Linked DNA regions of Lepisosteus oculatus. The protein of the gene in region 3 interacts with the protein of the main gene of each other region in a biochemical or structural test. Links are inferred from orthologs where the notes say so. Each region holds a gene or a part of one and is shown on either strand. Other genes may lie near its edges.

What was found.
Region 1: the proteins of pex19 (region 3) and ATP-binding cassette sub-family D member 2 form a complex in vitro, tested with the Homo sapiens proteins (3 studies listed by BioGRID and IntAct, with this or other methods). The link is inferred for Lepisosteus oculatus from reciprocal best matches to the Homo sapiens genes PEX19 and ABCD2.
Region 2: the proteins of pex19 (region 3) and abcd1 form a complex in vitro, tested with the Homo sapiens proteins (3 studies listed by BioGRID and IntAct, with this or other methods). The link is inferred for Lepisosteus oculatus from reciprocal best matches to the Homo sapiens genes PEX19 and ABCD1.

Annotation. Positions count from the first base shown.
Region 1 is NC_090702.1:37,201,642-37,211,976, forward strand, and holds the start of ATP-binding cassette sub-family D member 2, read right to left. Parts: upstream 5,900-10,335; 5' UTR 5,655-5,899; coding exon 4,719-5,654; intron 4,501-4,718; coding exon 4,320-4,500; intron 3,505-4,319; coding exon 3,383-3,504; intron 471-3,382; coding exon 308-470; intron 1-307. Other genes in the region: regulator of DNA class I crossover intermediates 1, read left to right, coding at 7,449-7,471, 9,296-9,335.
Region 2 is NC_090697.1:75,804,407-75,814,741, reverse strand, and holds the start of abcd1 (ATP-binding cassette sub-family D member 1), read right to left. Parts: upstream 6,942-10,335; 5' UTR 6,185-6,941; exon of another isoform or gene 5,927-6,184; 5' UTR 5,586-5,926; coding exon 4,662-5,585; intron 2,381-4,661; coding exon 2,200-2,380; intron 1-2,199. UniProt on the Homo sapiens protein: ATP-dependent transporter of the ATP-binding cassette (ABC) family involved in the transport of very long chain fatty acid (VLCFA)-CoA from the cytosol to the peroxisome lumen.
Region 3 is NC_090699.1:8,498,985-8,509,319, forward strand, and holds the start of pex19 (peroxisomal biogenesis factor 19), read right to left. Parts: upstream 6,332-10,335; 5' UTR 6,152-6,331; intron 5,742-6,151; 5' UTR 5,656-5,741; coding exon 5,604-5,655; intron 3,351-5,603; coding exon 3,247-3,350; intron 1,845-3,246; coding exon 1,679-1,844; intron 431-1,678; coding exon 345-430; intron 1-344. UniProt on the Homo sapiens protein: Necessary for early peroxisomal biogenesis. Acts both as a cytosolic chaperone and as an import receptor for peroxisomal membrane proteins (PMPs).

The DNA.
Region 1 (10,335 bases), on a different chromosome or scaffold from region 3:
GTTGAAAATGTTTTAACATTGTTTTTGTTGAAGATGAGAGTGTAGTGTGGATACACCCGGCGTAAATATATATTATTACATTATACTTGTATAAATTGTATAAACTTCTTGAGGCTCTTTTTCCTTGCCTAAGAATTATATGTTACATAAAATTCTGAATGATTTGGATATTTATTAGAATAAGGTATAATGTATAAGCAAAAGACTGCTTGTATTTAATGTGCTGCTTTCTGGTAGCTGTAAAGGGTCAATTTGCTGTAGTAATACAGTATATAGTATATAAATGCACATGTATTTATTTAAGTACCTTTGATCTCAAGAGGACCATCAATATGCATCTCAGGTCTGGCTGCACCTTCGTTGTCAGATGGAGCTGTAACAGTGGAACGCTTGTATATTCCTTTCTGCACTTCATCAAAAACCAAAAACATGTTGTGTACGCGAGCTGTATAGCCAGCCAGTTCAGTGACCTGTTAAAGTGAATGGATAAATGCTTCAGCACAAAGGCACTGTGAAGAAACAGAATGATGTCAATAGTCTACTACATAAAAATTATAGACTTTGCAGCCTGGTTTCAAAGCCAATCAACAAATAATGTTTTGTGTGAGATAAGAAAAGCCAAAAAATAATAAGAAAATATCCTCATAATAAATGAAAAATATTATTTCAAAGAATTCTCTGTCATTTTAAAATAGGATGGTACTTTTCAATAACCTTTTAACAAAAGTATTCATCAATCAGCATGAGGCACAAATAAAAGAAATGTACAATTTATCATGAGGTGTCCCATATTTCTCATTTTGTAAACCATTTGATCACAATTTAGTCTTTAAATTCTAAAACATGTAAAAGCAGTTGTAATGCTTGCTCTTTTTCAAATAAAAAGAAGATATTGCTGTCTATACTTTATACATGTTGTATTAGAAGTTATGGCATTAAAAGACAAGTCTTGGTTTATAATTTATAATTATCAGGAGAGATTATTCATTTATTTTAACCCAGGACCCTTCAAATTTTAAAACTGTCCAATGATTTTGACAAGGTGAATATCATACATAAATATTTTTTTCATATACATACATTTATAACTAAAAGCTACTTTTTCCCTTAACTTTTTCCCTTAATCTGTATGCAGTGGGAAAAAGGCAGAACAAAGCATCTTTGACCAGTGTCAGAAAAGGAGTTCACTTCCACTTGATCACACGAATTGTTAAATAGGGAAACATTCTGAATGTTAAGCAGATGGTGGATTATTCCCAACTAGTTAAGCTTCCCTAACAGCATTCTTAATGCCATAAACGTGATCTCAATATGAGGTTTTAAATGCATAAAGCTTTCACTTGTGCTTTCTGATGCAATGTTTAAATTCCATATTAAGAAAGGAAACATTTACAGTGTAAGCCATAACTTTTGTAATAGCAAACCCATACTGTAAGTTTAGCTCCCTGGCACTCAGAAAGTAATGAATTGTGGTGAATAACGTTCAGTCACAGAAGCTAAAAAAGGAAACTGTACAGATAGTGTAATTCTGAACTGCAATGCACTGGCTGCCTGTACAGTGTTCTAACACTCTATCTAATCTCAGTTTTAACCAAAACACGTGCTCACGTTTCCTAGAACTCTGGCACTCTTGTCTGGACAGAAGACTATTGAGCAGGCAAGCAAAATACTTTAACAGCTACAGCAACCAAATAATAAAAAATCAAAATTTATTTTGTTACACGGTAATGTGGTACAATAAAAAACTGCACATAAATAACATGGCATTTCAGCAAAAGTTTAAAGGAGAAATGTATACTGTACATTCTTGCATTCAATCAGCACATTTGGAACAGCCCCTTGTTCCAAAGTAGAAATTTGTGTCTACTTATTTAATACAGCTGCATGCTTAAGTTCCTGTAACAGGGTTTATTCATTTTATCTGTATCTCCAAATTGGATGGATGGTCAAAACTATGAATTAACAATACTGCAGTCCCTGAAATGGGTCTAGCCCATGTTAAGCTCTCAACACTGTAAATGTGCGATTATTGTGAAAGTTGTAACATTAAAATCAGCCTTCATATACAGTAGTACTTCACATCATTCTGCCCGATACCTTATACATTAATTCATGTAAACCCAGCTCTTAAAAATGACTAAAAAAAGAACAACTTGCGGATCAACAGGAATTCACTTGCCAAACTTGCCAAAATGTAATTTTAAGATGCTGCTGTTACAGCTGCTGCTGTTACACTGTTACACTGCATCTCCTAAGACTTCTGTGGATAGTGGTAAAAAGACAAAGCTCAGCGCTTATCTTCACTTGAAAGAAATTTGTCTTTACACCACAAAGGGGAAAAAACACAAGCTGAACAATCATCTGTTTGATTTTGTGCACTGTGTTTGGCATAACTAACATAGATGATGAGCCTTTGGTTGGTTAATGGTCACTTCAGAAATGACTGTCCCTAATAATACAATTCAGAAATATTACTAACAGCTAGTTTACAAATATTTAACTGATCAGGAATTAAAATAGTGATTCCAATTGTTTGTTCTTTATTTAAAAAATGGCAAATATGACACCAGTCATCACTTTCCAGAGAAAAACACGTTGCTAACGATCATGTTCCAACTTCTAGGTACTGATATTTCAAAGTAGTTGGTACTAATTAGTATAATACATACTGAGCATTATGATAATTTCATCACTATAATTCCACATAATTCCATCACTTATTACATTGTTGAACAGTCATGTCATATGTAAATTCATTATGGTATCAACAGTGTTAAGTATTTGGGGATCTACTGAGGAAGTAACAAACCAATAGCATGTGTGACTTTATTTGAACACAAGCTGTACATCACTTGAACCATCTTACTGACTGGTCTACTGTACACAACAATTAGCTTCATTTTTTATTTGTCTGTGTCACATTCCATACAACACCTTGATTGATCAGTGGTGAGTCCTGTTGAGAAGTTGCTCCGATATTCTCATTAACAAAGGCACTACTTTCTTAATAGGCAGGGGATATTGGTTCCTTTCTGTGTTTTAGGTTCAACAGGGTAAATCACCTCTTCACCCGTACCCAATCAAATCTTTTGCTAATTAGCTGACTTAATGCTTGTGACAGCACAATTATTTGAATGTAACATGGTCAGTCAAAATTTTTCAATTTTAATTAAAATGACACAAAAAGCATTTAACAGATGCTACTAAATAAAATATTTTTTAATGCTCGGAATATAAACTAATAGGAAGGCAATTTGAAAACCTATTTTTTGTGAACACATTTTTATTCTCCTAAACTCACTGAAGTGATGTGAAAACATTTAAACATATTAAAATCTAAGGCATATGAAATAAGCCACTCTGGAATACAAGTTTACCTCACCTCTTTGTAGGAAGACATGATTCTCTCTATAGCATCAGCACCAGATGCCAGGAGATTACGTGCTGTTGTGAAGGCTTCAGTTCTTTCACTCACTAAAACTTGAGTTTGGCCATCTTCCAGCTCTAAAAAAGAAACAAAAGTGTTCCTCAAAATGAATTTGTATTATATTTAGGAGACACGTGAAAAGAACAAGTAGTTTTATACATACGTTTATATTCTATTGTATTTTACACAACATGATCAAAAAACGACTAAAGCTGTTTATTCAGAAAACTACAGATGTTGAATCATTAGTTGCTTGCACATCCAATAACCTCCTTCCATTTGCTTTTTCACCCATTTTAATTTAAAAATCATATGGTTCTATAACAGATGACAACAGCCTTGCATGTGACATGTTTAAAAACATGAGTCTGATTTATTCTTCTGAGTATCCCAGTCTGGATTACTTTGATATCCCAGTCATTAAAGTAATAAGTAACTTAAATTACTTAACTGGTTCGTATTTAACATGTATTTCTATTTGAAACAACAATTATTTATTAACGTCTCTTGAAAATAATAATAGAATTGCCTTCTCTCCACCCGAACGCACTCTCAAAAAGAGTAAGAACAAAAAACAAAACTCCTGGCCCTTTAGCAACAGACTGTGACACCATAACCTCACATAAAAAATGCTACGGCAACGGTTTTCTTGCCATAAACTGAAGAAGAACAAACACATAAAACATGATGTCATTTGTAACCACTGGCATATTTCTGTGTCACATTTTAAACACATTTTGCTATTATGCGTATGAAAGGCAATAAGTAATTAAAACTCACATTTAAACGAATTACTAGTAATTAAACAATTTTAATTATCGTTAATTTACCAGTATTACGAATTTACATTATTTAAATAACTCAAAATATTTTAGAAGAATCTTTATTTTACCGTTATCAGCAAAACCAGTTGCGGTGATAATGGGTACTGCCACCATAACTAAGCCACTCCCACTCCAGACATACTTCATCAGGAACTGCTCTATCATAATATACCAGAGCCGCTTAGACAAAATAAGGTTCATCTGTTCAGCAAGGGCCTTGTAACATTTCTGCAGTTGTTTCATCTCTACCTGTTTTAGAAGAAGAAGACACATTATTCACACTATGAAAGTGGCATTAAGTATGTGTAATTGTTCAGTTTGGAAATCCTGATTTCATTTAAGTTACGTTGCTCCACTAGATATACTATATTCGTGTTTCTACAAAGGAATGCATTTTTTAGTTTTACACTGAGGAGAGACATAGCCTGAACTAAGACTGACATGTAGTGTCTCCACTGTTGTCTTACCTTATGTCCCCTGTAAAAGGCGATCTCTTCGGCGTTGGCAATGATGCGTGAATGTGCGTAACGCAAGTAACCCTTTCTGTGTGCCTCCTCCGCCACCAGTTTCCCAAATTTTGGCGAGCAGGCTCTCAAAACCTTAGCTGTGGCATACACGACGAGACCTGCCAGCAGGGTCGGGCCGGAGGCGTTGGCCCCTCTTGATCTTGCAGTTTGAATCAGGGTGTAAGAAGTAAGCATCACATCCAAAATGGGTTTTGTAAGGTTAGAGTACAAATGTGCAACCGATTGCGAAAACATCATGATGTCCTCTGTAAGGGATTGGTCTGGGTTCGCAAGTCTCCCATCCATATTGCTAACCTTATAGTAAGTCTGGTCTGTGAAATACGTTTTATATGCATGATCGACTAACCGAGTGCGAAAGGCCAAAGCAAGCTTGCACTCCAAAAAACGTATTGCGCTATTGACAAACGTGGCCGGTATGGCTATAAGGAGCCATTTCATCAATTTGATGACGAAGCTTCTTGGTTGTTTCTCTACTATTGTCTTCACGATTTTACCGTCTAACCCTGCCACATAAATGGACAAGAATGTCCTCGATATCAAGGCGACAGAATGTAAGCAAAGCAATCCGAGCTCTTTGGTGATAAGCTTTGGAAAGAGGATTTTTACAAGTTCCAGTATCTGATTGAAGAACTCGGCATTTACTCCAGGAGACCTGTTTGGCGTTACGTCCGTCGTTCCTGGCAATATTAATCCATTTTGTTCTTCAGTTTTGAGGGGTTCTGTCTTCTTATGGTCGGGTCTTCTGTTGATCTGCTTGCAAATGACAGGATACAACGTTTTCACCCCATAAGCGGCCGCCACAAGAATAGCGGCTCGTTTTGCTGCAGCTGACTGATTCCATTTCACTTTAGCTGCCGCATGCAATATATTGGACATTTTTTAACAATAGGCGATATATAAACTTGTCAATCTTGTCTGACGTCGTTTCGGTACATATCCTTCAGTCAAATGTAAAACAATAAATCAAAATAAAATATAATAAAACAACCAGAAAGAACTGAGGGAAATTCAACCGCAGATTGTTTTTACTAAGAGCCTCTGCACCACTAGACAGTATCAATTGGAGTGTTTCCGTCAATAGGTTGTGCAGTCTTTCTTCTCGGCTACTCCCCCGGAAGAAGTTGATTGGTTATTTCTGCAGCGAATGCAAATAACAGATTGTAAAACGTTTGAGATGCGCATCTGCGTTGTTCAGACTGTGTGTATGCAAAACGTAACCCTAAGGGTTCACGTGATTCTCAGTGACTGTGGTCAACATGACAGTTATGAAACAAACGACTAAGAGGAATAAGGCAGTAAAAAAGCACAGTAAAATGTGTACCTTACTTTGAAATAATGTCGCGCAAAATTTCGATATGAAGCAACATGCTTTATTTTGATGAAAACGGTGAATTTTAAAAGCACATTGAATGAATGAAGAGTACTGTGTTTGCATTTCAAAATACAATATAAAACAAAATTAAATTACACCTCCTACATCTTCACCACCATCATAATTACAATATATGCTATCGCAATACTAAAATCCCAAAAATAAAAATAATTTTTAACAACCATAATTTAAATCGCCTAAGAAACAGCAAATAGCAATTTAACATTAACCAGGATTGAATTCCTATGCACTGTAACACTACGCAACTTATGTTAAAGAGATTCAGTTTGATTTAACCTAGTTAATAATAGTACAAGGAAGGAAAACTGAAGACAATCAAGGCTGTCTGGACAAACATCAGTTTGTAACTTCTATGTGTGTAGCCAAATGTATATTTTAAACTTTATTATTAATTGCTCAGACTGAATGTGTATAGAATTCCCGGCTAGAAACAGTTTACCAAGTGAAAATAGTTAACACTGTTTTTGTTGAGACCAATTTTAAACGGTATGACGTGCAATTAAGAGCACGCGATTTCAATATCCTGTATTGCCTATACAGTGCGTCTGAAATCCACTGATGCTTTGAAATGACCAGAAATTCAATAACTTCAATAAACGAATGGGGTCCTGCAAGTCCGACGAAGGGCATACACACACAATAATTAACAGACACCAAGTAATGTAGGGGAAACCAGAGAAATTAAAAAACACATGCGAGTACAGGGAGATGATCAACCTACAGTAATTTCGCAAGAAACCCCCTCTCCCCCCAGTCTCCAGTCCAGATTAGAAGGAAGGCTACTATAACTGGGAGGATCCATGCTGAAATTGAGTTGGTCAAAATACACCATGTTGATTTGAATAATTACCCTAAATTCTCAAAAACAAATATGCAGGATCCTGCATATAGTGCATCTGTTATCTGCGCCCCCAGCCTCTCCAGGCCTCGAGGCTCCAGAATTCGTCAGTCAGATCACTTTGACTCTAAGCGCGCGGTATAAAGTCTCGAGCGGGAACGAATGGCTGCGAGGAGCGATTTATCTTTCGAGAGAAAAAAAAATTATCAAGGGTAAAATCAAGGGTATCCTTTGCTGAAGGATATCTATATTTTAAAAAGTACTTACACAATCGCCGGTTACATTTATTTCTCCTCAGCCTTATTGTTAGGTTACTGATTATTATATTAGGTTTCGGAGGTGGTGAATGAGCTCACAGTTGCTTGTCTAGTTAAGCACGATAAAATATAGAAGCAAAAAGCTAGAGACACTCGACTGCTATTTTTCTTCGAAAACTGAGATGAATTGGGTCGGAGGTACAAGGTAAGTAAAAATCAAATTCATCTTAGCCTATTTGATTAGATGGCGTTCAGCAGCATAGATGTTATTATCGATTAAGTTATCTGCTGCGTCACAGAAAATAAATGGACAATTTGTCTGCTTCTTTCCATCTACATGTAAAACTACATTATAGACAAAGTATTTTCGGTACAATTTAGGAAAACATTTTAATATGCTGTTAAATAGTATACATATTTTAATGTTTTATTCGAAAGTAGTCCGTATTGCACAGTTATTGGAACAATCAACGATAGTATGACTCACTCCAACTATAAAGTTTGACCTAAACTACCTCACAGAGTATGACACTCCATCAAAGGCTGATCCTAATCTCTAACCAAGTTGTGTATCTAATTTTATGTCATGTATCTAATTTACGCCAATCTTCCTTCCTGGGGACCCTCAACAGCTGCTGGTTTTCATTGCTGCCGAGCTCTCTTCACCATGAGTTTTTAACTGAACCAGAAGGCTGCTTGATTAGCACTCTTACCAGTTTTATTTCTACTTAAACGTTAGGGGCAGCCTGTGGCACAGAGGTTAGCATGCCTGCTTTGCAGTGTTGTGGGCTCCAGTTTTTCCCCTCAGTCCCCTGACATACTGGTAGATTAATTGGATTCTGGGAAGACTGGCTATGGTGTGAGGGTGTGGGTGGGTGTCTGTATCTGTGTGCACCCTCTGGTGGACTGGCATCGTGTCCAGGGAGTACCCCGCCTTGCACCCTTTGTTTGCCCAGAAATGTAGTAATGGATGTTAAGTTGAAGATGGTAAAGACAAGTTCCCACGTGTCTAGGAAATTGAAAAAAAAAGTGTTCAAATTAAATGTATTATTAGGTTTAATTGAGGGATCAATTATTTAACTGACTGTGCGGGGGGGACTAGTATGTGTGTGGGTCCCCTTGGTCGAGGACCAGGAATGGGAACTCGTGATCTGTGTGACTGCATGTGTGATGTGTATGATGAATGGACAGAATTTGTACTATATACAGTAGCTGGGCAAATAGCATAAAAGATGAAAGTGTTCCACCACAAAGAGCATCAAGGTGCCAGAGTGGTACACATCACTGCCTCCCGGAGCTGGAGTCTGGGTTCAGTTCTGGCCTGGGTGCTGTATACATGGAGTTTGTATGTCTGTTAAGTGGTTTGTGTGGGTTTCCTCCAGATCCTCTGGTTTTCTCCCACGGTCCAAAGACAGGTAGGTTCATTGACTTTTGTGAAAATTGGTCCTGATGTGAGTGTATCTATGTTTGCCCTGTAATGCACTGGCATCCTGTCCAGTGTGCATCCATCCTTGTGCCCATTGCTTGCTGAGTTAGGCTCCAGCTCCCCTGTGACCCTTTATTGGATAAAATGGTTAGAAAATGGATGGATGTACCACCATAACTAAGCTGGAAAATGAAGAGGAAGAATAAAACAAAATGCAAATGTGAAAGACTCACCAGTTTTATCAGACTGAATACTTTACTGCAGTGCATACAGTAGAATCCCCCCCACACTGAATCAGGAAGTAGACCATATAATGGAAATACGTTAAATATATGTTTAAAGTTGTGTTTACTGTACTTGCTCCTTAAGCAGGCTCATACTGTACGTGGAAATGAATGTTTTTTTTCTTCATAGCCGCACAATGGCTTATGGTTTCTTTTTTGTACTATTTTTAGACTGTTTCTGTTCAGTAAAATAAAACATTAGATATTGGGTATTACAGTTTTCCTTTCACATCAAATCTTACATTTGGGGAATACAAAACTTTAATTTGGAATCTGTGAATTACACATTGATTTATTGTATGTTTTATTTCATCCCCAGGAACAGATTCATGTTCAAAAATGGCATAAAAAAGCAAAAGGTAAGGCTAATATGAATGCAATATCAATAACAGTTTATATACTGTTCTTCAATTCTTCAGTTCTAAACTAAATTTGGAAATATACATTTATATAGCGTACTATAGTGAAAAAAATATATTGAAGAATAAACATCATTAAGAAAACAATTAGGATTCTTTATAAATATAATGTAAGGATAGTAATTTTATGCCCACTGCTCTGCTTTTGACAACCGACTAATCCCTATAATACAGTACATATAGTATCTGCTAAACAGAGAATCAGACATCATGAAAGCTGCAGCATTAATATTAAATATTTATTTGTTACTTAAATAATTCTTTTGTTATACTGTACTCTTTGGATCACCATCAAGGTGAAACATGTAGTCTCACTCTTGATCACTGGCCAGTACTCAAGTTGTTAATAACTAGTGGTCGGGTGCCAAGTGGATGTTTTTGATTGTTGGGGAGGTTGACTTTTTAAATTCCTTTGACAATATTGAGCACTTGAATCGGGATCTGTCGTAGTCATCTTTGTTCAAGATTTCTTCAGCCTGTCAGCATCGCTCAGGACATTCCCCTAAGCACTGGAATGTATCTGGTAGCTCTTCTCAAGAATGCTTCCAGTGCAGCTGTATTGTTTTTATGGTGACCAGAACTGGACACAATACTTGAAATGAGGTCTAAATAGTACATTGTACAGTTTTTAAAATTTTAATGTAAAATCTATGCATTTCAGGGTTATAACTTGTTTGCCTTTTTTGCTCTCCCACATCATCTAATGTGAATTGTTTGTCAACCTAAACACCTATTTCAAGCCTCTCAGTGTTTTCCATTTTGTGTTGATATTTCATGTTTTTGCTATCTGCATACATATAATTCTTAATATTTGTCTGCAAGTTTTGTAGTTTGTATTTGTGTTGTATTTTCTTGGTTAATAAGAAAATATTTTCTTTTAATTAACAATGGTGGTTCTGGTCATATTTATATTTAGATTTGTTAACGCATTTCTTATATA
Region 2 (10,335 bases), on a different chromosome or scaffold from region 3:
ACACATCAACCAGGGCTTAACAGGATCTTCACACTGACAGACAAAAGGAAGTGTGAAGTAATCTTGAACAAAGAGGTCTACCAGGGGACATGGTACAAGCACTCAAAATCCTGGAAGACATTGACAGCCAGCCCAGGATTCCTTTCACTACGAACAGTGAAACACAAACCTGACAAGTCGAAACACCACAAGTTCAAATGACTTAGAAGTGCATTTAAAACTGGGAGCATTAGGCACGTCTTTACACCAAGGGTGGTGGGAGTGTGGAACACGCTGCCGAGGCATGCTGTTGAAGGCGATACCCTGGGTTATTTCAAGACACAGCTGGAGGAGACCCTGGGATCAATCAACTACTACACACCACCAAACAATCAGGTTGGACTCCTCTCTTGAGTTACTCTGCTCATTTTTTTAGCAAACAAAAAGAATAAAAAATCACTGAACAAGAGACAAGGGATGTGGTCATGTGAATTCCTTCCCTCTCCCGCTGGGCAAATGGTTTTCTTTCATTGCTCCTCACAGATCGACTGACTGACGGAGTCTGGCGTCTGCGTGTCAGTCATAGTCTACGCCCCTCCATGGACACGCCCGCCCCAGTTTGCACAGAGGTTACAAAACCTGCCGATATAGATTACCAACGGTTTAATACTGAACATACGTCCTTTATCTTCTGCTGCTGATCAGGCACAGGGGGAAAAAAAGTGTGGAGTAGCTCAGAGTAGCCAGTGGCAGTGATGATGATGATGAACAGAGAGACTCACTGTGCTCGGAGTAGCCAGTGGCAGTGATGATGATGAAGAGACTCACTGTGCTCAGAGTAGCCAGTGGCAGTGATGATGATGATGAACAGAGAGACTCACTGTGCTCGGAGTAGCCAGTGGCAGTGATGATGATGAAGAGACTCACTGTGCTCAGAGTAGCCAGTGGCAGTGATGATGATGATGAAGAGAGACTACTGACTGTGCTCGGAGTAGCCAGTGGTGGTGATGATGATGATGAAGAGAGAGACTCACTGTACTCGGAGTAGCCAGTGGCAGTGATGATGATGATGATGAGGAGACTCACTGTGCTCGGAGTAGCCAGTGGCGGTGATGATGATGAAGAGAGACTCACTGTACTCCGAGTAGCCAGTGGCAGTGATGATGATGATGAAGAGAGACTACTGACTGTGCTCGGAGTAGCCAGTGGCAGTGATGATGATGATGAAGAGACTCACTGAACTCCGAGTAGCCAGTGGCGGTGATGATGATGAAGAGAGACTACTGACTGTGCTCGGAGTAGCCAGTGGCAGTGATGATGATGAAGAGAGACTCACTGTGCTCAGAGTAGCCAGTGGCAGTGATGATGATGATGAAGAGAGACTACTGACTGTGCTCAGAGTAGCCAGTGGCAGTGATGATGATGATGAAGAGACTCACTGAACTCCGAGTAGCCAGTGGCGGTGATGATGATGAAGAGAGACTCACGTGCTCGGAGTAGCCAGTGGCAGTGATGATGATGATGAAGAGACTCACTGAACTCCGAGTAGCCAGTGGCGGTGATGATGATGAAGAGAGACTCACGTGCTCCGAGTAGCCAGTGGCAGTGATGATGATGATGATGAAGAGACTCACTGAACTCCGAGTAGCCAGTGGCGGTGATGATGATGAAGAGAGACTCACCGTGCTCGGAGTAGCCAGTGGCGGTGATGATGATGATGAGACTCACTGTACTCGGAGTAGCCAGTGGCAGTGATGATGATGATGATGAGACTCACTGTGCTCGGAGTAGCCAGTGGCAGTGATGATGATGATGAAGAGACTCACTGTACTCCGAGTAGCCAGTGGCGGTGATGATGATGAAGAGAGACTCACCGTGCTCGGAGTAGCCAGTGGCGGTGATGATGATGAAGAGAGACTCACTGTGCTCGGAGTAGCCAGTGGCAGTGATGATGATGATGAAGAGAGACTCACTGTGCTCGGAGTAGCCAGTGGCAGTGATGATGATGATGAAGAGAGACTCACTGTGCTCAGAGTAGCCAGTGGCAGTGATGATGATGATGATGAAGAGACTCACTGTACTCCGAGTAGCCAGTGGCGGTGATGATGATGAAGAGAGACTCACCGTGCTCGGAGTAGCCAGTGGCGGTGATGATGATGAAGAGAGACTCACCGTGCTCGGAGTAGCCAGTGGCGGTGATGATGATGAAGAGAGACTCACCGTGCTCGGAGTAGCCAGTGGCGGTGATGATGGGCACAGCCACCATGACGAGCCCTGAGGCGCTCCACAGGTACTTCATGAGGAACTGCTCCAGCATGATGTACCACAGACGCTTGAACAGGATGAGGTTGATCTGGGAGGCCAGGGCCCGGTAGCAGCGCTGTAGCTGGGCCATCTCCACCTGCAGGGACACACACACACACGTTACAACTACTGCTACACAATATCAAGCACTGTCTTCACCTCACACCACATCGAAGCACGGCCACAGCACCTCTAACTATGAAAACAAAGTGTTTTCAAATGGGAATTTTCTCGTTCAGTGAAAGATTGCCCAGTTGATAAATTGCTGAAAGTTCTGTTTTGCACAGATTGCATCTTGTTCTTGTTTTGTCTCAACTGCTGAGATGACATGGAGCACTGTGCAGTGTGGAGCAGTGGTCAGGGCTGTAGTCTCTGGAAGGCTGGGGGTTCGAATCCTGGGTGGGTCTCTACCACGTCAGCCTTGAGCAAGGCTGTACACTCACTCTTGGGTACAAATGCAAGTGGCTTTGGTAACCTGTCACGTTTCAAATGCCGAGGAAGCAGGTGACTAATGGTGAGGACTCTGTCCTTCTCCCAGGACCAGGACAAGGCCAGGGCACATGCACAGCCTCAGCTCTCCTGTCTCCTGTCCCAGAGCGCCATCTAGATTGACTGCAGCAGGGCAACAGGGCTGGACCTGGCCAGTACTGGGATTGCAGATCTCTGAGGCAAACCGGGTCGCTTCTGTAAGTGGTGCTGGTGGACCACTAGGAGGCAACTTTCCCTCTGGACCAGATGTTCCACAAAAAGTAGCTTAGTGTGCTGACAGAGGGACCTGAGCTTTTGGGTTGAGACAGTATTAACGTCCTGTCCTTTTTTTTTGCACACTGAAAACCACAAGATTCACAACAGGTGAAAGCTAGTCCCGCTGACAGGGCCAAATGCAAGGAAAAAACTTCCTACAAAAGCCCCCCGCTCATCTTAACTGGGCTGCAGTTCCTGTCCTACCCTACCCTCCAGGAACGTCACTGGACATCCTGTTTACATAAAAGATTATACACACAGTGCTGCACGTTGGCTGTGTTTTGCTTTTCTTGAGTGCGCGTAGATCGGCTCTAACATCACACAGACGGCGCTCTCGGTTCTGAGGAATAAATCCCGAAAAGCGACGTCTGAAACCACCGGGAGCAGCAGGGCATCGTGGGAAACAGGTGGTGGGCAGGACCTGACCTGTCATGGCGGCGGCCACAGCAGTGCAGCTGTGTTAGTGGATACAGGGCTGGTCTCGCGCTTAACGAGAGAGAAGCACAAGGAGATCGCAGGGCGCTACATCAGGCCATCAGAGCCAGGATGATATTTTAAGAATTCCCGCAGGCAGACTCTTTTCAATTGGTTTCCCAAAAAGCTCAATAAGCAGAGCGTGGCAGGAAATCCCGTTTGCGATAGCGTGCAGCTCTGCTTGGGTGACAATCTCGGAGATACAGGGCAGGATTGACTGAAATGGGGACAAAGGCTTTAGAATAACACTGCAGCATGTTAACTGGAGTCTCTGCACACGTGCTGCATTTTCTCAGTTCTTTGACACCACCTGGCACAACAGGGTAGCCCTGCAGAACATGACTTCCTGGGAGTAACATCATCACCTGATGTACAAGGGGGGCTGAGCCTTTGCCCACTGTACAAGGTTAAGCCAGTCTGTTCCTCGCCGGCCTTATGTAAGACCTCCCCCCCCCAACCAAACACTGTTACAATCCTGCTCTCCTGACTCCGAGCGTCTCCTTGACCTTCAGCCTCTGACCCCTGACCCACTGTCACATAGCTCTTCCCCACCTCAGGACACACACACACGCCCCACTCTCTCACACAAACCAGGAATCACACAGCCAAGCCAGGGCCAGCCTCTTCTCTGCTCCCGATCTCTGCCTGACAGGCCTCACGTTGGAAGAGACAGCAGCTCTTTGCCTGTTGACCTATTTAGATATCTCCAGTGCAAACTTACTTACGTGGCACAATGCCCAAGGCCTTCAGGTAATAAACGACCCCTACTCTCGCCAGTGTTTATTCCAACACGACACACGTTCACACTTCCACCTGCAGCAGTCTAAGGATAAAGCGCATTTTAAGCCAAAAGCACGGATCTCTGCTGTGTCCCCCCGGATCAGTGTCTGCACGCCCCCTCGCTGCCAGCTGGCTCAGCTCAGGCTGCTTGTGCCAGTGGTTGGTATCTGGGCCAGAAATGACAAAGCACATTAAACAGCTTCTAAAACCAGCCCTGCCGACGGGGCGAGATCGAGCGCGGGCACCGGCCGGCCCGACACAACGGGAGTCCCGATGCGCAGCGGGCCCGATCCGTCTCGGGTTCTACCGACGCCCTTTGCCAGCTCGGTCAGGCCCGTCGACTTATCTTCACGCAATTCTCTGCCGGCGGGCGCACTGACCTTGTGCCCCCGGTAGAAGGCGATCTCCTCCGAGTTGGCGATGATGCGCGAGTGCATGTAGCGCAGCTCGCCCTTGCGCCGCGCCTCCTGGGCCACCAGCTTGCCGAAGCGCGGCGAGAAGGCGCGCAGCACCTTGGCCGTGAGCGCCACCACGATGCCGGCGATGACGGACGGCCAGGTGGTGCTGGCGCCCTTGGACCAGGCCGTGCGCAGCAGCGTGTAGCCCGTCACCGCCACGTCCAGGATGGGCTTGGTGAGGTTGGAGTAGAGGTGGGCCACCGAGGCGGCGAAGGCCACCACGTCCTCGGTCAGCGACTGGTCGGGGTTGGCCAGCCGGCCGTCCATGTTGCTGACCCGGTAGTAGGTCTGGCGGCTGAAGTAGAGGCGGTAGGCGTGGCTGACCAGGCGCGTGCGGAAGGCCAGCGTCAGCCTGCCCTCCAGGTAGCGGATGGCGCTGTTGACGAAGGTGGCGGGGATGGCGATGAGCAGCCACTTGGTCAGCTGCAGCACGAAGGCCCGCGGGTCCTTGCGCACGATGGTCCTGACGATCTTGCCGTCCAGCCGGGCCACGTAGATGGACAGGAAGGTGCGGGAGACCAGCGCCAGCGAGTGGACGCCCAGCAGGCCCAGCTCCCTGCAGAGCAGCTGCGGGAACAGGATCCGCAGCAGCCGGACCAGCCGGCGCAGGAACTCCTGGTCCAGGCCGGGCGAGCGCCCGCCCCCGCCCGCGGCCCCCGAGCCGCGCGGCCCCCCGTTGGCCTCCGGGCGCGGGGTCCCCGCCGCCTCGCCCGCCCCGGCCCGCCGCAGCAGGACGGGGTACAGCTTCTTGACCCCGTACGCCGCCGCCAGCAGCAGCAGGGCCCTCCTGACCGCGGAGGTCCTCTTCAGCTGCGCGGGCAGCTGGGGGTACAGGACCGAAGACATGGGGGGGCACGTCCACGTCCTGGGGGGGGGGGGTTCTACTTTTTATACACGGTCTCCCCACGCGTCAGACCTCCGTCCGGTTTCCCTTCTTCGCACGCGTGTCTCTTCCTCAGCGCTGAAAAGGAGGCTCTCGCCGTGCGTGTGCGTGTTTAAATCAGATCCAGGCCTGTCCGCTCAGTATCGTGGGGTTGTAAGGGAGAGGGGGTTCCCCCCCGTACCGGACAGCCGGGTGACCTCGGGGAACCTTCTCCGGGGTGACGGCACCGTGCCCCCACACCAGCACGCAGGAACACGACCTAAAAGTCCGTCACTCCGACATCACATCAAGGGGAGAGCAGCACCTTGGAAACGCAAAGCGGAACCGTGACGTTGAACCCGCTCTAGACAGTGAACCGTTCGGAAAGGTCTACGCGCGACCTCCGGTTACATCTCGCACTTTTTTCTAATTTCTGGGGGCCCAAGCAATCCCAGCGGTGCGCTCCTCTGAGGTGTAAAAATAAACGTTTATCTTTCAGATATGAATCAACTGATAACGAGAAAACAACCCAACACAACACACACGCACGCACAGGAGGTCGAGGGGCGGCGAGGAAAGCAACCTGTCCCAGGTGACAGGTGGGCGTCCAGGCGGCGGGGTCCCCCAGAAATGTCGCTTCAGTCAAACTTCAGTCTGACCTTCAATCAGGCAGCTCGCAATCTCTCTCTAAAGAGAGGAGCAAGAACTCAAAGTTATTGCTCGAGCAGGTGTACCGTGTACACCTGTATGATTATGTAAGTTACATAACTACGTCAAACAGCGTCAACCTCCTCGATGTGCCTGGTGTCCTCTGACGGTATTCTACCCCGTGTCGCCTAATACCTGCAGTATATAAAAGTTGTCGTTATTATAAGAAGCTACAGTTGGCCGCCCAACTGTTGACAGCAGCGCGTTTCCTGAAAAGAGAAAAGTTGCAGGACTTTGTTGACAGCGACACTGCAATACACACGGAAACAAAACGAGTCCCGGGCGCAGGAAGGGTGAAGTCGCTGGCTTTTCTGTCCAAAGGAGAAAAAAAAAGTTTTCGCTTTTTAAGCCTTCCGTAAAAAACCCTCGGTGAACTTTACGCACCGACTGTTCGCCGTAAAAGAGGGAAAAAAAAAAAACAAGTTTCGAAACTTGTTGGAAGTGTGTGTGAAAGGGGGGAGTCTATTCTATTCGCTGCAAATACATCCGAGTCTCGAAATTCGCCCCTCGACGCCGGTCAGTCCCGCAGCGTCGATCTCGGTATCGGCACCCCCAAGGGCGGCTGCAAGTCCGCTCTCCTCTCGCTTCTGCTTTTCTGCAACTGTCAAAGACGTAGGAAGTCCTCCACCTATCCCACAATCCCCCTCGCACCCGGCTTTTCTGGACGCTCTTCATGCGCGACTGAGAGTCTATGGTGGCAACGTGTAAATGTGAGAGCCGTAGGTTAACCATCTGAAAAGTTTTTTTTTTTGAAACACCCGAATACTTTCAGAAATCACGCCACCTCACCGCGCTGTGCGTAGTAGAGCTGTAGCTGAAAACATTAACCCGTTTGTGCCTTTGTGGAGTCTCAGCCTTTAAAGGACTTTTTTTTAGCTAGCTGAACGATATCAAGAGCAATGAACTATTTCACCTGTTGCAGTCATAATGCAGGTGCATGGATTAATAGATATAGGCATCCAGGTCTCTGTGTCTGTGTGACTGCGTCTGTCAAATATTCAGTTTATCAAGCTTTATTGGCATGGCTTTGTTTTCTAGTAAATACTGCTTCATCAAGGTGGGCAGAACTATTTTAACTCCTTTCTACAAATCATTTACTTAAACTGCTGTAACATACTGTCCTACCTGTTGGTAGGTGTGGTACAGTCGATGACAATATTGGTCCCATAAACTGTAACAGGTTGGTAAAAGCACTGACGATGAGCAGCAAAGCCATCCTATCTTCTACAGAGGGTTTGTAAAGAAGGCTGAGTGCATCTCACCCCCACCATGGTGAATTTACACTCCTCCCCTCTGGGAGACACGTGTAATGGCAAAGTTACAGCCCCCTGCAACCTGACTCTCCAACGATGTAAATATCAGTCTCTCCTGAGCACCGGTTGTCCTGAACACTTTGTGGTTCTTGTATTGTTGTGCAAGAATCTGCCTGAAACCATTTCCCCCAGGGATCTGGAGAGACTTCTTCCTGGACAAAGATGACTGAACTCTAAGAGAGACCCACAGAGAGACAGACACACACCTGGGCTTTAACAAGACACTTTATTAAAAAGATGATATACAGTCCCTCTCCCCAGTACATATTCAAAAGTGGCATGATTTTATATTCAATAACTTCTCTTCGTCCCCAAAACACCTGGTATTATTGGGAGGCGAGACCCAAAGGTCAGAAGTAGCGATAGAAATGCAAGCGTCTCTTCTTTATAATAGTCTTCTCTATCTACACCTTTCAAATTACAATTCAAGTCATTGTGGAAATGTCAAGATCAGCTGCCTGTACCCCTGGAAGTGAACTGTCGGCCCTCCCACAGTCCTGCACAGACCCTGCCTCTTCTCCGCAGCTCTTCCATGCAGAAGCGTCAGTCTGGACACAGGAGTCCGCTGTGGCGCCGCGAGTGGCAGCGCGGACTGAAATCACATGCACACACAAACACGCACACACACCCCCAGACACACACACCCCCACATCCCCCCCCCCCCACACCCACACACACCCCCCAGACACCCCCCCCCCACCACTCCTCGTGCACTGCTGGTGAAGCCGAACTCGACTCAGGGCAGTGCCGTCGCAAAAGACCTGCACGCCTCATGGAAATGTCTGTAGGCAAATTCTCAACCGGATGAAAAAGGGGAAAAACAAACAAACCAGCCCACATACCAGCTGAGGCTACCAGGCCTGCAGCCCTCCCAGTCCGCTCCCCAGCCCGTCGTACTGCAGGCTGCGTTCCCTCGAGGGCCTGTCGGATCTGTGCACTAGCGGAGCTGCAGCACGGCGGTGGAGTGGAGAGGAAGGAGCTGTGGGCTGGCGCAGAATGGAACTGCTTGATTAGCCCGCCAGAGGACAGGGTTGTTAATCGCCATGTATTATATACATACATGGATATTGACAAACACATTACAAGCAGTTATGTATTGCTTTAAAACACTATGCAAACTTCAGTTACCCATCTACTGCACAGGGAGACTAATGATCTCTGAGGAGATGTGAAGGCTGCCTGATCATAATTCTTAATAGTGGGGAGCAGTGGACATCATGGTACTGCGGATCAGCACTTCAGCAGGGCTGGACCGACTGACCAGGTAGAACTGGTTCAGCCTGTGTAAGACAGCCCTCTAGTGGTGAGAAGGAGTAAGGCAGCAGGGGTTGAAGGAACTGCTGGTCATTCCTACGCGTCTGGGGCAGGAACGGACAAGTTCAAGCCTCCAGGGTGGGAGTCTGTCAGGTTTTACAAGTAGAAGAATCACGGATTAGGGACCGGAGGAGAAATCAAAACCACAGGACCCTGTCACTTACCCTCAAGGACATGGGGTGCACATCCCCTGGTCTCGGAGAGGCCCAGGAGTTTACCAGCTCCTCTTAAAATAGGGGGGGCTAATTAACACTTTGAGTTAGTGACTTTTTTATCACTGAAGCTAACGGTTCAGCTGTTCCTGTTCAGCTCAGTCCAGCTCTGATCCTGGAAGGATGCAGGTAAGAAGCTCCCAGTTTTGAAGCCTAAACACTGACGATTTCCAGGGAGAACTTCAATGGGCTCCACTGGGTCGGAGCTCTGAAGGGAAAGGGCTGGAGATCACGAGCCTGGATGAGCGCTGCTGAGAGTTCAAGCACAGCCTGCTTTATAGGCGCCTTCACTGCAGGAACCTGCAGAACTAGGTTTCCCTTTCCGATGAATCAGGAGGGTGGACCATGTAACTACACTGTCGTCTAACCGTTCTGTTCTCTCCTCCGCCCAGCTAACCTGATCAGCCCACCGGGAGCCACGTCGAACCTGGGGCCAGGGCCGTGGGCAGAGCCTGCCTCGCTGGAGTGGGGGGTCAGCTGCTCTGCGGGGTCTCGTATGCTGGTGAAGGATGTGGGGGAGTCACGGGCTGGAGCCGGAGGTAGCCACGCTGCTGCCGCCATCATTGCAAAACGCTTGCGCAGGCTGCGTGAGGAGTACCGCACGGGCGAGCGCGCGGACCGCGGCGCTTTGTTGAACGCCCTTCCCTGGCGAGAGGGGTGGCGACGCATGCCGGGGTCCCTGTGGAGTGCTGGAGTGCTCCGCAGGCCTGCGCCCGACAGGGCACAGTACAAACCCACGCCCAGATCCAAACCAACACAGGGGGGCCCGATACTATCCCCTTCTGGGGTCACCAGCCGACGCCTATAGGGGGTGCTGTTGAAAACAGAACCCTCCTTGTTCTACTGGACTGCAGAAACTGGCCCGGCTCGCCGGGATCGGCCCAGAGGCGGATTAGCTGCGATTCCACCCAGAACACAAGCCCCAGCACTACTTGTAACCCACTGATGTCAGCGCTAGGTGTGCGGACCTCTGGCCAGTGCGCCGCGAGGAGGCGGGAGTCTCTCCCCCCAGGCCACGGCGGTAACAACTGGACTGTTCTGCTTACAGGGGCACAGGGCAGCAGGAAGATACTGGACAAGAAGAAAAAATATTACTTTATAATTTAATGACATAAGACCGGCTTATGCTGGCACCCACAGTGCAGGGTGGCCTGTACGGACGGGAACGTGCCAGGAGCCTCGCGCCC
Region 3 (10,335 bases):
CACAACAATAAAACACTATAAGAAGGTACCAACACACAAATCTCTTTATTAATAACTTTCCGATTTCTTGTGCACCCAAAGGATAAGGATCCATGGAAATATAATTCCACTATTATGGATACGACATATTGCAGTACAATAAAATGAGGAGGGATTAAGATAGTTATTTTGATGGGCAATTTGAAAACCGAGAGCTCTTCATAATGCATCATGTTAATTTTCTTACTGGAGTACCAAGCGTCTCCTAGTGGTGAAAAGGATGCCTTTAGCGAATTTCCATGAGCTGAAATTGCCTCTCTTAAGCCCAACCTTTGCTGTTTCTGTGTAGAACCCTGTGTGCCTACCTGTAAATCATCTGCATTTTTGGCCAATCCACTGAGGGTATCCTTCAGACAGGAAGTGAACTCCTGCTGTGACGCCGCATCTGTTCCTGTGAAAAGAGATTTATTGAGGGATGCAAAGCCGCAAATCACAAACAGCGTTGACACAAGCATCTAAAGGGCATCTCTAAATACTGAAACCTCCCACCTTTCACCTTTGTGGGTGAAATGTTCATTTAGATCATTTGAAAAGGGAGCTGGTATCCTACATATCATCCTCATTCCTCTGTAGTCCGCTACAGATGTTTTCCAGCCTAAAATCTGTTTTTGTGCTCTTATAGTGAGATGGCAATGTTTTAAGGCAGGCTGCAATTATGTCTTTGTAGAGGATAAGCAGAACCCCAAAAAGAAAACAGTTCCTATTATTGAGGCATCTCCCCTCATCCTGTGCACAGTTGGCTGAATAAAGAAGAGGCTTGAACCATCTCACGCCTGGCTTCTGTATTAACCTGGATCACATACAACAGTACCAGACGATGGACTGTGAGGGACCTTCGCTCATCTGGTCTGTTCCTGATGGGAGGCACTGAGCAGTGGTGAGCATTGCCGCCCCACAGTGCTCAGGCCCTGGGTTCAATCCCAGACTTGATGTGCTATCTGCAGGGAGTCTGTATTTCCAATGGGTTTCCTACAGATGCTCCAGTTCCTTCCCATGGTCCTAAGACATACTGACAGGTTAACTGGCTTGTGGGAAAATCGGCCCTGGTGCGAGTGTGTGCGTCCGCCCCCAGCCTGAACTGGATGAATTGGTTAGAAAACTGATGGATGGATGCGTTTTGTGTCGACTTCAAAATCCTCATGCTCACCTATAAGGCCCTGCATGGCTTGGCACCTCAGTACCTGTCTGAGCTACTATCGTCCTACTCCCCACCTCTCAACCTTCGCTCTTCTAATTCTGGTCTCCTGGTCTGTCCCCCAGTCCTGTCTACACTCTCTGGGTGACAGGACCTTCTCCTGCTGTGCTCCAGACTTCTGGAACTCTATCCCTAAGGATATCAGAGTCACCTTCAAATCTAGACTCAAAACCTTCTTTATAGAAGGGCCTTTACTTAACCGGTTCTTATTTACCCTTTTGCTCCTACCGTATTCAGTACCCCGTCTATTGTCTCATTGTGTCTATCTTGTGTACTTTTTTGTCGTTGTCGTTCTGTAAAGCGCTATGAGAAGGCACCTTTAAAGATGCTATATAAAATAAAGTTTATTATTATTAGATTCCCGATTCCCAGATTTCCCCACTCCTGGTGGGGGGGTGGGCGATCCCGGCCAGGCGGACGGGTGGGTGGGGGCGGTAGACGTACCCACTTTGCCGGCCGCCTCCGAGAGCTTCTGGAACTGCTCCACCAGGTGCGGCTCCTCCTGGGCCAGCTCCCTCATGGCCCTGTCGAACTCCTCCCGGGCCTGGCTGGCCAGCTCCCCCTCGAACAGCGCCTCGAAGAACTGGTTGTCCTCCAGCAGCGGGGGGCACTAGAGCAGCCGGGGAGGGGCGGGGAGACGGGACAGGTTGGGATCGACAGCTCCCAGCGCACACGTTTGCACGCGGCGACGGGAAACGGGAACGATGGGAGGCCCCGGGATCGGAACGAGCGTGCATCCTTTATCCAGGAGCCAGGGGCGCCGGCAGCCATGATAATTCCGGCTCCAACAGCGTATATTCAAGTGTACGTCACTGGAATCTATTTATTCACTCTGGGTGTTGCCCTGTCATTAATATTTCCTTTCCAGCTGAGGGCTGAGAGGCGGGGTTGGATGTCTACAGCCACATCCTGCATTCTGCTCAATAAAGTGATCAGGAAGGCGGGCTCTGTGCTGGGGCTGAGCCTTGAGCCCCTGGAGGTGGTGGCTGAGAGGAGAACGCTGACCAAGCTCACAGCGATCGTGAACAACGCCTCTCATCCGCTTCATGGGACTGTTATTGGGCAGCGGAGCACTTTTAGCAACAGACCGCTCCTGCTACGGTGCTCAAGGGAACGTTTCCGCAGGTCTTTCCTCCCGGCGGCTGTCAGGGTGTATAACGCTGCCCTAGGCTACGACTGTCAGCCCTTCATTTGCTCCTCTATGGACAGCATGTTGCTCCATTGTACTTTTTTGGACACTCAATCTATATATACCTGTGCACATTTTGCACATATTTTATTGTTTTTACAGTGACTATGATCTATGACTATGACTATGCTTGTCTTGGGCTGGGCTGCTGTAACACATCAATTTCCCTTCGGGATCAATAAAGTCTTATGTATCTATCTTATCTATCTATAAGTAAGGGGCTCTACAGTGTAAGATCAGCACTATCTGTGCGTGAAGAATCGTACAATAGAATCGGACCTGACCTGGGTTCACTCCTGCCAATGGTCTGAAAAATACTGGACTCAGAAATAACCCATAGGCGGTGATCACCTTATCACAAATAGCCACTGTGCCAAGTGTGGAAGTATTTTGTCTAGTTCTAATCCGTCTGCCTTGGTCACTAAACACCCATTCATAATTAGGGAGGTGACAGAAAATTCCTGCAAAACTGCTTGGATTCAGAGCACCACGGGCGAGACACCTTATGTGCGTCGTCTTTGATATTCTCTGGAAGTGGCCTGAGCTAACCTGGCCTCACTGAACTGCGATCCGACTTCTTGCATCTCGGCATCACGGAAATGTAGGCCTGAGACGGACTGCATGAGCAGGAGTGCGTCATTTCAAATCTCAACATGGATCACGGCAAATTTATATACTAGTTAGTCTATCAGTTTAATTTGGGATCCTCTCATCCACTGGAAAAATGGTTGCCGCTTGACGCAAAACAAAACGGGGGCACAGGAGTAACTTTTACAGGACTAGATCAAGGTCACTTAAGCAAAGCCAGTGAAGACCGACTCACTGTCTCCTTGTCACTGGCAGCAGCAGGGGGCGCTGCAGTCGGCTCTCCCTCAGAGCTGGGGGCCGCGGCGCAGGGCTTGGTCTTCTCAAAGTCGTCCAGGGCACCTGATCAAAAACGAAAATTGAAAACCGTCAATTAGGAACAGAATCTAATCCGGTCCCGACTCGGGTCGTCTCGCTGGCGGCTACTGGGATTATTCAAACGCAGACGCTGGCACACAGCTGGCAGGAGAGAAGCAGGTTTGCGAGGTCACTGTACAGCTGCAGCGCCCGAGCCGAGGGTAACTCTTCCAGTGGTCCAGCCAAACCAGTAACCAGCCAGTTCTGTTGAGAGCTGGGATGGGAACCAGTGGACACACCTGCACCAGGGATGGACTTCTCTGCTTGGGTCCCACAGGAATTTAGCTTGAGACCCAAATTCAATTTGAAATGGCTTTATTGGCATCATGGATGAACTGAAGTGCTGCCAAAACTTTCAAGACAGACACTGAGTCTCTGCTTCAGACTGTGACAGGAGATCACATACTGGGCTACAGATCTTTTATTTTTATTGTTATTGGAGATGGTCACTGTCTAATCCTCACGCTGTGACAGGAGATCACACACTGTTTTAGTATTGAGAGACTGGCTTACTATCTGTTCCTCAGGCTGGGATATGAGAACACATTCTGTATTATTATTATTATTATTATTATTATTATTATTATTATTATTATTACTGAGAGACAGGCTCACTGTTCCTCGGGCTGGGACAGGAGATGACACACTGTATTATTATTATTGAGAGACTGGCTCACTGTTCCTCAGGCTGGGACAGGAGATCACACACTGTATTATTATTATTGAGAGACAGGCTCACTGTTCCTCAGGCTGGGACAGGAGATCACACACTGTATTATTATTATTGAGAGACAGGCTCACTGTCTGTTCCTCAGGCTGGGACAGGAGATCACACACTGTATTATTATTACTGAGAGACAGGCTCACTGTTCCTCAGGCTGGGACAGGAGATCACACACTGTATTATTATTATTATTGAGAGACAGGCTCACTGTCTGTTCCTCAGGCTGTGACAGGAGATCACACACAGTATTATTATTATTATTATTATTATTATTATTATTATTATTATTATTATTGAGAGACAGGCTCACTGTTCCTCAGGCTGTGACAGGAGATCACACACTGTATTATTATTACTGAGAGACAGGCTCACTGTTCCTAAGGCTGGGACAGGAGATCACACACTGTATTATTATTATTGAGAGACAGACTCACTGTCTGTTCCTCAGGCTGGGACAGGAGATCACACACTGTATTATTATTATTGAGAGACGGGCTCACTGTCTGTTCCTCAGGCTGTGACAGGAGATCACACACTGTATTACTATTATTGAGAGACAGGCTCACTGTTCCTCAGGCTGTGACAGGAGATCACACACCAGGCTGCAGCTCTATTGAGTTTCCTCCCCCAGTAGGTTCAGAACTGGTTCGGATTCCAGCAGAATTCTAGGAATCCTGAGGATCGATTTGTTATTTTGGGGAAGAATGTACGTCTGACCCCAGGCCTATCACTCTGCATTTAAACTACACACAGCAGTGGGTTGTGCCGGGGGGGGGTTTCCGAAAAGCACTCAAGTTTTGAGGTCGGATCTGTGATGGGCAGGAGCGACACGTTTTTAAACGCCGCGGTAGTGCTAGACACAGAACAGGGCTGCGAGTCGAAGGACGTATAGGGTCTTGACTGTTCAACATTAACAACAGCCATCATAACCACCAGCAAATATCGATTCCCAGTCGTCAGAGTTAACAATCAGGTGCATCAACTCGGGTGCATTTTACATGCTGGTGCTCCCGATTCCAAAACGGGACAGCGACACACGAGTGTAGTCTTACCTGACATGCATGCCTCACTTACTGCTATATACAGCAAGAGTATTCGCAATCTACTGAGCTGATATCGTTAAATGTGGCTTAAGTGTTAAAATGTTGAAATTCTGGCATCAACATCCGACTTGAAAACAGCAGACACTTCTTTAAGTGTCATTTTCTTCTCAAAGCAATGGCAAGTATAATAATAAACTGCTACTACAGCTTCAACTGCCTAACAGAGATAACAATAACTGCGGCAATGCTGATAGAACCAGCTTTAAAAAATAGAAAAAACCCTTCTTTTTTCTCTATTTCGCAAAACCACTCGTTTAATCATTCTGCGTTTCAACTGTCTTGGGTGACAGGTTACACCGTGTACTCTGTTCAGCAACCAAAATTTTCACACTGGGACGCCCTCTCCTTCACCGATGAACGCCAGCTACTCCTTTGAACATCCGACATTTACAGAAGAAGTACCGTCCTTACTGTCTAACAACTCGTCCAGTTCATTATCCTGCGCCTCTGCTGCCGCCGCCATCTTGAAAGGTGCCCTGGTTAGGTGATGTCAGCGCGGAAGTCCGATGCCGGCCCTTTGAATTCTGGGTGCTGTAGTTTTTTTCCGATCTATTTTAAACGGGTTTTATTCCAACTGGGCATATAATGAACTATTAACAGTGCAATAATGCATAATATAAAATCTGCATGTATAAAACAAAGTATTCAATACAATCATACAGTACAAAGAGACAATAAAAAAAATCTAAAAATTGTAAGAGATCAGGATTACAAAATTGCAATCCGCAGCATTAAAATTCGTTCGAGGCAAAAACAAAAAGTTTTCACAGACTTAAAAATAAGTGGAGATTCCAGCAGTGTCATGAGCCCTTAAAGGAAGAATATGCAATACCAGTACTAAGTTATTATTTTTAATAATTAAAGTTATGAGGAGCTCCACTCTTTAAAATCCCCCCGCCCAAAAAATTACCTGGGAACAGGCTAGTTGGAAAAAAAAACAATAACAACCCGTCCCTCACCCCTTCGTTTTTCGAGGATGTAGCGGTCGGCAAAGTTCTCATTGTCCGCTTTGCACCTAATTAGGAGTTTGGTTTTCCTGTCGAAAAAAAGAGAAAATGCTTTACGGATAAGGCGACTTAAGAGATGCCTGACTTCACCGAAGACCTTTCCCCTGTGTGAATGTGGCTTTTGTGAGGCTTCAAGTTCTGTTTCCTACTATTCATTTCCGTGAACGCGATGGCTCATAGCCGGCGACAATTCCCCCGGATGAAATTGTATTGGACGAGCTGCGATCCGTCTCGCTCTGAATACGGACGGTACAAACACAGCACCCCTGGTCGTATGACCACATACGAGATTAATATTTTAAAGACATTACCCGTGTATGAATACAAATCATCTGCTTTCATGAAATAAAGCGTACCGTTTAACCGCTGTTGCGTGTCTGGAAACAACATTTGTGTTCTAACGGTTTGTCTTATCAATAAAGTATTGAAGTATTCTGGCTTCATTAATTTATTCTTCAACAGTTTGTCTTGAATAAGGTACAGATAGAGAAACTGCGCGGGCTTCTTTTTACTGTCTCTGCTCTGCCTCATAGTCTGAGGGCTTTAACGGCATAAATGTACACATTCTGTACCTATAAATACCTGTGCTTCTCCTGAGATTTCACACTGGAGTACCTTGACAGGACTTGTGCAGCTAATTCAGTATACAGATTATTATTTGCAATAATGAAAATACTGTAGTGGTGTATTCAATACAAAAACAGGACAAACGTGTGAAAGGTATCTTGTTTATCTCCTTTGCAAATTCTCATTGGAACAGACAACATATGGAATTTTCAAAACACCTTTCTCTTAGCGAGTTACTTAGGGTTAATGACCTTTGTGTTCTCCTTATTTAAACCCTCAAATAAAATTAAAGACATTTGAAGTAAATGAATTAATCGTAACCAATTCTGTGATCCAGCAACATTTTGCATCAGAGTAACTCCTTCTTACTCCCAGCTAATAAGAGTACCAGGTACTTTTTTATAGACATAGGGTGCCTTCTGTGTGGAGTTTGTAGGCTCTCCCTGTGTTCACAGGCGTTTGCTCTGGTCTCCTCTCACAGTCCAAGGAAATACTGGTGTGTTAATGGGCTTCTAGGAAAGCCGACGCTGGTGTGAGTGTGGACGTCTGTGTCTGTGAGTGCCCTGTGACAGACTGGAGTCCCATTCAGGTTGTAAACCACTTTGCACCAGTTGCTCTCTGGGATGGGCTCCAGCTCCCCCGTGATCGTGGAGTGGATAAAGTGGTTTGAAAATGGATGGGCGATTCACTGGACACTCAGCCTAGGGGACAATCGTCCATTTTCAAAGTGGTTACTTGCCAACCACACCCACAGAATGGATCCAGAAAGAATCCAGAGCTAAACTCTGTGCTCTGTGGCTCAGGATCTGCGCCTGTGGCTGGAAGGTTGCCGGTTCAAATCCTGCAGCCGGCAGAGGAATCCTACTCCGTGGGGCCCCTGAGCAAGGCCCTTAACCCCAACTGCTCCAGGGGTGCGGTACAATGGCTGACCCTGCCCTCTGACCCCCAGCTTCTCTCTCCCTGCCTGTGTGTCTCATGGAGAGCAAGCTGGAATATGTGAAAAGACAGATTCCTAAAGCAAATTCATATCTTATCTTATAATCCACAGAATGGATCCAGAAAGAATGCAGAGCTAAACTCCTGCCAAGGGGTGGCAGTGTCACAGGATTCGTGTGGAAATGACGGATGAGCGAAGATATTGGGCAAATGGAATGGAGATGTTAAAGACAGTCAGAGTTCCATAAGAGACAGCGGGTCTAAGCCGAGGCAGAGACATGTAATGTTCCTTCTCAAGCTCAGGAGACACTTCCAGGCTGTCAGATTGTTTTCCTAAAGAAAATAAAAAAACTAAAGGAAGGGGAGAGTTCTACACATTTCCCCACAACAGCTCTCCCCTCCCCTTGACCCACCCAGGGATAAAAAACATAATTTAAACAAAAAATTACATAAACACATACATAAAAAAACAAAAAAACATAATTTGAAAAACAAACCATATTTCTAAAAATCCATTGCCACGGTATGATGTGTAATTTCTTGCACATAATTTACAGTTACAGTGTGGTTCTTTCTTTTTTGCCTTCTAGTCTCCAATAATATGAATATAAATGAAACATTCAACAATACAATAAAATGTACCAATATAAAATTGTGGTGATACTATAAAATATAAAAAAAAATATCACTTTCTACTTCCCTCTTTGACAGCCCCAGTTGCACAGAATACAGAACCCAATTTGCTGAATGAGCGCAGTGCTGTTCCTTTGTTTAATTCTGACAGTTATCTTTAAGTTGATGACCTGTTATAAAAAGATAGCAATGGCAAAAGGACAGCTCTGGTGTTTTCAAGTACTGTACTGGCACTGAAGTCATCAAAGATCACCAAGTCTCTTCTTCCCATTCCCAGGGACTCAGCCGAGCTCAGAGAAGAGAGTGTCATCCTACAGGAGCCTTGCGCTGGTCTTTGCCATTCTGTGGATCAGCACTCGCAGTGCTGGAGTGGGTTTCTACTGTGAGTACCAGCAGGGAGCAGTTCAGTGCTGACACTGGGAAGAATGATCTCTATGGCATATTGGTAAATGTATAAAACAATGCATATGTACGTTTGGTTGAACTTTCTTATACGAAGAGTAAAGTCAGAAGTGTTGCAAAATGCTATGTTGATGTATGCAATATAGTATAGGACAAGCGTAGAAGTATGATGAAAAGCACTGCTCTGTCACAGTCCACGAGAGACTTTCGGCTCCCTCTACCATATGTTAATAAAGTTTATTGTATAACCCTGGAGGAGGGGGTAGCTGTCAGCCGTGGACTCCCGGAGGTTTCCTGACAGATAAATGAGGTTTTTCTTCCCCCCTGTGCTGTGCAGCTTTTTCTATGTGCGGTACTATCTCGGTCGACATCCTACCCCTAGAGGGCACTCTACTTCATTCCTTTTCCTAGTTTTGTGTGATTATTCATGTTCTTCCGGTGTGTCTGGTTTCCATTTCCTATTTAGTCCCTGTGTCTCCAGTGTTCCTGGCTCAGCATTAAGGTACAAATGTCGCGAGGCCCGCTTAGCACCAGGTCACCCCACGTCCGTGTCCTGAGGGCATATGCCTCATCCCCAACACCGCCTGACTCCTGAGCCGGGAGCTGTGTTTGTCCCGCTTTTTGCCGCTGTGCATAGGGTCCCTACTGTTCATTCCACGGCTGGCCTTTCCGACATCCATGACTGCTCTATCTGAATAATGTTGATCTCTGGTATAGTCTTTGATCTTCTCATAACACTGGAAGGCTATAGAAAATTGATGGCTATTAAACACAGGTCCCCATTGCTGCAGGCAAGCTTTTCTTTACATCTCCAAAAGGTCTGGATGCTGTCGTGGGTAGTGTGCAGCTTCTATGTATAAATGTGAAACTGTGTGCAGCGCTACCTCACCTCAACTACCTCAACAGCTTCCAGATGTCATGCGTTTTTCTGTGTCCACACCGATTGTCAAACAACAGGCTTCTCAATCCCATGGTTACCACCAATATAGTGCTTTGGCCCTGGCAGTGTGGGCTAGGACTTGAAACATAAATCTAGACAATTAATAAATTTCCAGTTTGCAGAGGATATGCAATTTGTCAATGAATGTTTAGAAGAAAGACATTATACGAGCTCCCACCAATCACCGGATCAACAGTGCAGAAATACAAGATTTTTATCGGACAGTTCTGACTGCCACTTCTACATGGCCAGACTTGGGGGTCAAAATCCCCAGGGTATTAATCAGAGAATGCCAACTTCTCATCGCGCCAAATTGTACTCGAACATCCTTTCAAAGAATCCCACTCTAACCACCAATGTCACTTCCTGGGGAGGGTTCTGACTGGTTAGTCAACAGGTTGGATTACCAAGCTATTGTTCCTCAAGCCTAGTGTAGTAAAGCCTTCATTTTTTGTGTGAATCATTCAACTGCAACACCTTTTAGGGTGACAGTGTGTATCTCTTATAATACCACATATAATGAAGAATCAGTATCTGCAAATGCTGCAGTAGATAGATATTCTATTGATCCCCTGAGGGGAAATTGCTAAATGAAATGATCATTTGTGTAATTTGTATCTCTGAGGAGACAGATGATACTCACTTTCTTTTAATATTT